2 linked regions of the Xenopus tropicalis genome follow. The protein of the gene in region 2 purifies or fractionates together with the protein of the main gene of each other region. This does not show direct contact. Links are inferred from orthologs where the notes say so. Each region holds a gene or a part of one and is shown on either strand. Other genes may lie near its edges.

The links.
Region 1: the proteins of prmt8 (region 2) and ewsr1 purify together in Homo sapiens (affinity purification with mass spectrometry; 3 studies listed by BioGRID and IntAct, counting the BioPlex papers as one, with this or other methods). This does not show direct contact. The link is inferred for Xenopus tropicalis from reciprocal best matches to the Homo sapiens genes PRMT8 and EWSR1.

The regions. Positions count from the first base shown.
Region 1 is NC_030677.2:144,939,626-144,942,891, forward strand, and holds the end of ewsr1 (RNA-binding protein EWS), read right to left. Parts: coding exon 3,155-3,266; intron 3,017-3,154; coding exon 2,884-3,016; intron 2,249-2,883; coding exon 2,154-2,248; intron 1,634-2,153; coding exon 1,390-1,633; intron 1,282-1,389; coding exon 1,242-1,281; 3' UTR 629-1,241; downstream 1-628. UniProt on the Homo sapiens protein: Binds to ssRNA containing the consensus sequence 5'-AGGUAA-3'. Might normally function as a transcriptional repressor. EWS-fusion-proteins (EFPS) may play a role in the tumorigenic process.
Region 2 is NC_030679.2:14,584,296-14,588,126, forward strand, and holds part of prmt8 (protein arginine N-methyltransferase 8), read right to left. Parts: intron 1,436-3,831; coding exon 1,293-1,435; intron 337-1,292; coding exon 249-336; intron 1-248. UniProt on the Homo sapiens protein: S-adenosyl-L-methionine-dependent and membrane-associated arginine methyltransferase that can both catalyze the formation of omega-N monomethylarginine (MMA) and asymmetrical dimethylarginine (aDMA) in proteins such as NIFK, myelin basic protein, histone H4, H2A and H2A/H2B dimer.

The sequences.
Region 1 (3,266 bases), on a different chromosome or scaffold from region 2:
TTTGGGTAGAGGATTTCTTGGAATATATTCTAGGTACAGGCCTGGTTTATTTAGTTCATGCTCCTTATATTCCTTGCACCTTTGGAATCTGGCTTGTGCCAAGTGTTTTAAATACAGGTATGGGACCTGTTATCCAGATGCTTAGTGCTTGGGGTTTTCCCAGATATGGGGTCTTTGCATAATTTGGATCTCCATACCTTAAATTTACTAAAAAATAATTTAAGCATTAAACCCTATAGGACTGTTTTGCCTCTAATAAGGATTATATATTAGTTGGTATCAAGTACAAGGTACTGTTTCATTATTAGAGAAAAGGGAAATAATTTTTCTATTTTATTATAACCAAGTCTATTGGAGATAGCCTTCCTGTAAATGTATGGGTTACTGGTTTCCAGATAATGGGCACTATACCAGTAAAAGCAGCTTCTCAGTTTCATGTCAGCACTGCATACTGACTGGCGATTTGCATCAATATTACAAAAAAATAACTACAAAATTGACAAATTAATATTTTAGGTCTTTATGGTAGGAAACTTTTTAGCCAATGGATGAGAAGAGAACTGTTTTCCATAATGAAAACCACCCATTTAAAAATTACATTTATTGAGGAGTTCCAATTTGTAAAATAGTGGTTCAACAAGATTTTATTACAGTATTATGGGGTGGGGTCCAACAAATTAACACAAGCCAGTATATTAAAACAAAAATAAAATAAATCCCCATTTTTTACAGAATGGCCACAAAATAATATACTCACCAATAGCAAGCCCACCCCTCCCCAAAAAACAAACAAAAGTTAAACACAAATCCACAGTCGCATAAGAGGGTATTATTAGCCATTTGAAGATCCAAGACAGGGGCCAAACAGATTCACCTGCTAAAAATAAAAACAGTTTTGTATGGTCTATCTTCTCTAGCCATAGATTCTGTCAAGATAATGCACATGCTTTCATTCAAAGACTTCAAAACCATCAACCTTCACATGCAAAGAAGCTAAAAATTATGTTTGCTCTCAAAAGGAAGGTAAAAAAAACAAAAGCAAAACAAAAAGACAGCAATACTACCATTAAATTTCCATTTTAATATCTCCACAAATTGTGAATACTAAAGTTACAGACAAAGAATAATCATAATGTGACAGTGAAGGGAGGATCTTCATGTCAGCATTATAAATATGGAATTATAAATTTAAAACATTTCTGGTTTAAAAAATAAATCTGGTAGTAAAGGTGGCTCCGAAACTAGTAGGGTCTCTCTCTTCGTTCCTGGCGATGCTCACTCCTGGGGGGAAAAAAAAAAGTTTGCATTTAGTAGGTTGCTTGTAGGATATTACAGGGTGCATGTTATGCAGTTATTATAAGATACAAAAAAACCCCCAACAAAACATACTTATCCATTTTGCTGGGGCCACCTCGTCTTCCACCACCAATTCTTCCACCAAGCTGTTCCATGAGTGGACCAGGGGGACCTGGAGGTCCTCCTCTCCTTCCTCCTCCAAATCCTCTGTCCATACCACGCCCTCTGAAGCCTCCTCTATCTCCTCCACGACCACCTCTAAACATACCAGGCACACCACGGTCCATTAGGCCTCTGCCTCCTCTCATGCCTGGACCACCTCTTCCACGTTCTCCTCCTGCAATTGTAGCAATTCAGTTAGATATGTAATTAAGGGTGGTGCAAAACAGAATAGCCCCTTATTATTTGTTACTAGCAAGAAGGATTTAAAAAATCTGAATAACCAATATATTACAGATACCTGGAACACTACATATTTATTGTGTATGCACTTACCCTGTAACTTTTAGGGCAATGACACAAAGCTACAAAATTACCGTTCTAGCAGAGACAATTCTCTGTATTGTCTTGGGCAGGGTATTTTCTGGCGTTTTGCAGCCTCACCAAGTTGCTGGCTACAAGTAACTCTGTGCCATAGCCCTAACAACCAAAACTAGCCGGAAACTCCATCTGAAATAAGTGATCTTTTTAGCCCAAAACAAAATGTTTCCAGAGGAAACATGACAGGAAAACATTATCTAACATTAGACAAACTAGAAAGCAGGCGGTCCGAGACTTGAGATTTACTTAATATTACTCCCATGGGGAAAAAATCATGTTATCACAATATCAAAAAGGAACATTATAACCAACCTTACCTTGGGGTGGGAAAGGAGGGAAAGGGCCATCAGGCTTTGGAGCCTTGCACTGGTTGCATTCTGTTCTCCAAGCAAAATTCTGGTTTCCACATCCGCTAAAAATAAAGAGAAACTGAATTAGACACATTTCTGTCATGATTTTTATGGTGTACTTCTCATTTCTAAATTACACTGTTTACACAGCAAATAATTCACTACCATTTAAAACTGTATTCTTGAACCAAATTTTTATTTTTAGTTGTGTTGTAATATTGGTGTGTAGGCAGCCATCTCAGTGCATTGTGTCAAGTCCAGAAAGAGCTAGCGCTACACATAAGAACTGCTTTCAGATAGGTCTATCGTTTCTCCTATTCCTATGTAACTGAATGAGTCCCAAGCAGGACTTGGATTCCTTACTATTGAGTGCTATTCGGATATCTACTGGGATCTTGCCCCGTTCCCATTGTTCTGCTGATCGGCTGCTGGGGGCAAAAGGGAGGGGGGGTGTGATTACTCAAACTTACAGCTCAGCAGTGAAGTGCAAAGTTTGTCAGAGCACAGGACACATGGCTGTAGCACCCTGGGAAAATAATATGGCTAGCCATAGTAAATTTCAAAATTAAAAATAAAACTGTTTGCCCTCCAGCAGATTCTGCTGGAAAAGCTTTATTAACTGATGCAAAATGCAATGCAAAATAATGTTGTTATTACCTTAATGAAAAATACAGTAAATTTTCTCTATTATACTTACGGGTTGGGGCACTGCCAGTCACCAGCCCTGTGCTGGACATTACCGCTAACTGGACTACCTCTTGGCCCACGTGGCCCTCTTGGCATGAATCCCCCACGTTCCCCTCCTCGGCCACCCAAGCGACCCATGGGACCTAAATAAGAACAGTTTTGCAATTTGAATAAGTAAAATTGTGCATAGCATAGTCCTGACAAATTAGGTATAGTCTACATACAATATACCACATAAAAGGTAAGATGATTCTTTAAGAAGGGGAGCAATCATTTCCTACCTCCACGGAGAGGTGGCGGCTGTCCTCTGTTGTCACGTAAAAGTGACCCCCCTCTCATGCTACCTAGCAAAGACTTTTTGCGAGCCAATGACACTTTCACCTTGTTCCCATT
Region 2 (3,831 bases):
AAGACATCTCAAAAGAATTTTTAGTAATTTAAAAAAAAAAAAAAGCCAAGCAGAAGAGCAATTTAGAAGCAAAATGCAGCCAGACTGATGGTCAATACATAACATAAAAATGCCCCATTTGACCTTGACCTTAGAGATAGACACAGGGAATATTTATGCTTTAATGGTTTAATCTCCCCAGTATGCTCCCCAAAAGTCTGGAATTGGTTCCCCACCAACATGACAGTCCATAAGGACAGGATACTCACAATGGATCTTGAAGTCCTTATATTGTCTGTCTTCTATTGCAACGATATATAGGGCAGCTCGGTCAGGAAACATCAGCCCTCCAGGTTTCTGTTGATGAATTGTGGGGAAATTGGTCTTGTAATCAATTCACCTGACAAAGACATCACATTTTGAACTGCACGTATCAATGGCAGACAAGCACCCCCTGCATGCTTTCATTATTCTGTCACTCACAGTTTAATATCTGAATGGATAAATCCGCCTGCAGCCACACAGCTAGATATAAATGTCTGTCTAAATCAAAGCCATTGTCAGTTGAAGGAAAGCAGGGAGAAAAAAATGCTCTATGCTCTGACTATATTTGCCAGATAGATCGAGGGAGTATAGACTGAAAAATAGCCTTTTTTATTTAAAGGGCCACCTTACCTTAACATTTCTGCTGACTTAATACAGGGGAATCCCTATGCTGCCATAGTCTTATGGTATCTCTGTGTACAGGCTATGAGCAAACTGAGGGGGCTGTTCCTACTGAATTGTGCTTAGTACAGGGGAATCCCTATGGTGTTATAGTTTTATGGTATCTCTCTGTACAGGCTATGGGCAAACTTAGGGGGCTGTTCCTGCTGAATTGTGCTTAGTACAGGGGAATCCCTATGTGCCATAGTTTTATGGTATCTCTCTGTACAGGCTATGAGCAAACTTAGGGGGCTGTTCCTGCTGAATTGTGCTTAGTACAGGGGAATCCCTATGTGCCATAGTTTTATGGTATCTCTCTGTACAGGCTATGAGCAAACTTAGGGGGCTGTTCCTGCTGAATTGTGCTTAGTACAGGGGAATCCCTATGGTGCTATAGTTTTATGGTATCTCTCTGTAGAGGCTATGGGCAAACTTAGGGGGCTGTTCCTGCTGAATTGTGATTAGTACAGGGGAATACCTAAGCTGCCATAGTTTTATGGTATCTCTCTGTACAGGCTAACATCAAATAAATCAATATGAAAATAACATGCATGTAGCTGGTGAATGATTGTTATTGGCTTTAGCTATGTAACATGCAGAGAACCTACCAGCCACTTATCTCGTGCAAAGATGACCGTGTTAAGCATGGACTCATAGAACAAACAGTAGCCCATCCACTCGGTAATAATGATATCCACCTTATCCACTGGCAATTCCACCTCTTCAACTTTGCCTCTAAATATTGTAATTACTGGGGGGGGGGGGGAGAAATAACAAAAAAATATCTTTAATAAATCCTAAATTCATATTGTCTAAGTTTGATACCCTTTATAAACTTTCGAAATTGACCAAAAATGTCAGCCATCTTGCTCTTACATACAAAGGTTATTGTGCCATTTTGGGAACACTTTAATCAAATATGGGGAGGAAGGACAGACTTGCTAGGAAACTGTGCATAATGCTTCCAATTCAAAATGTAGGAACAATGAGTAAAGAAACAGATTTACGCAGATCAGCTGGGATTCCTACTGGAGTATTACTTTGCATGTTAATGCAGGTGCCAGCCCTGAAGAGCTGGGGAAAACTTTTATTCAGCAAAATAGCTTTAAAGATCCAACCTGGATATTGCTAGACTACAGCTCCCAGCACCCCTTAAGCTTGGGGTTTGTAGTCCAGCAAGTGTGGTTGAACCATGCAATGCAGTAGGGGTTGGTGTCCCTGTAAGGTTTTGCATTGCAGGAGGATGCCAGGACTGAGGATCTGACGTTGGGCAGAGGATATATTTAGAGTATGGCACATATGAAGCCTTACACCTCAGCTAAAAGCTTTCCAGCAGATAACAATGTGAGAAAGAAAGTGCGCAAAATATAAATGCAGGGAAAAAATAGTTGATATTAAAAATAAATTGAGCTGGAAAGGTGCATAATGTGAAAATAACACCTCCTCCTGCGTATGGCCCCCTCTGCCTCCTTCAGTATTATTTTCCAAATACATTTTCCATTTTATTTTCCTTAAATGTAGCAGCTGTAGGAGTCCCTCCTGCTGCCTATTGTTCTCTGCGCTCAATGCGGTTGGTATATTTATTGTCAAAGCACATTGATCTCTGTGATTATTCCGGCTCAGATGAAGGTTAGGAGGTTTTATTCCCCAAAGAACTGCTGAACCCTGGGCACCCCCTCACCCCACATACCAGCCCCCCAGGCACACACATCTTAGAAGCACAGAGCCTTATTGGAAGTTGACGTCTTTGGTACAGATTCACTAATGATTTATTAACAAAAATAACAAATTGATTAAATCAGGTCAATTCTGGATAAATTGTTTAAAATCATTTAAATTGTGATCAGCACCATAGGAAATGGCATAGATGCACACGTCTGACCTCAAGGTCATATAGGCCCACTGGGATACTGGGAAAAGTCCTGTTGTCCCGACACTTTGCCACCTGCCTGCAAGCTAGTCGCCCCAGCTCCACTACCTACTTGCTGCTGGCCATAACAGCAGAGCCAGAGTGGTGGTGGCTGAGGGCAGAGTAGAGAGCAGCAGTGGCAGGGTGGTGGGTCCTTGAACCCCAACTGTGCCTTCATTGGGGACCTTGAAATGCATATGTTACCACCCTGCAGCTTGTAGTAGCTTTGGGGTTGCTGCAGTGGCTTGCATCAATAGGGGCACCCTGTGTATCAGATGCAGATGCTTTGATACAACCAATGTTGTTTAACCTAGTCCATTTTAACACATGTTGCACATTCTTGGTGAACACAATTTGGTGTGTTTTTCCCATAAATCCAGGCCTGACTATGGGTAAAAACAAAATCCAAAAACTAATTTTTTGCAGCATTGCACTTTACTTATTGCATTTGCATTCATAGATGACCCCCATTGAATCCATGAAGGCTATGAATAGTGATAAATTAATTGAATGAACAGGCTAATTTGACCGATTGCCAGCCTTTGATACATCAGCCTGGGGGGGGGGCAGTCATGCAGTAACGCGCGGTTGCACATGAGCCTTTATATTTATGGCATTTATGTTCTTCTATTTAGGTAAAAGGGGACATACATTTTGCATTAAACTCTGCCATCTCCCATAGCAGGCAGAACACATTTAAGAGATCCACTGAATTATACATTATAATTATGTGTGAAAACTCAAAGTACAACATTATCTGCCAGTTGGTTTGACATTATACCTGACAGTTTATTTATGTGTGTACCAAGGCTCAGATGAGACTGTTATACCACCAGAGCATCTTCCAGTGCTAATGGACCCCACTCAAGGGTAATTCCCATTAGCCATTTTTTATGTTTGTCATGGGCCTATAATACTTAGGACTATATCTAAATGTTGTAAGATTTAGCCCTGTATGTCAGGTTTGCCAGATTAATATAATTCCTTTGATTTTTATGTTTACTTTATTTGCAGCTATCTTGTTATTAGTTATCATTCTCTGTGATAATATGAGTGAATTGGGGGCACAATGGTAAATTCTATCAAAGGTACTGTTTAAGTTTTTCAACAAGTCCTGTAGAGAACTAGGGGGCGTAGTGGGACAGCTTTATGATTGGGTTGAGTTAAAGGAAAACTGCTCAATAACAAGATGCCTTTATGTATCTATTTTCATGGTGTGATAAATGTGCCCCTATACA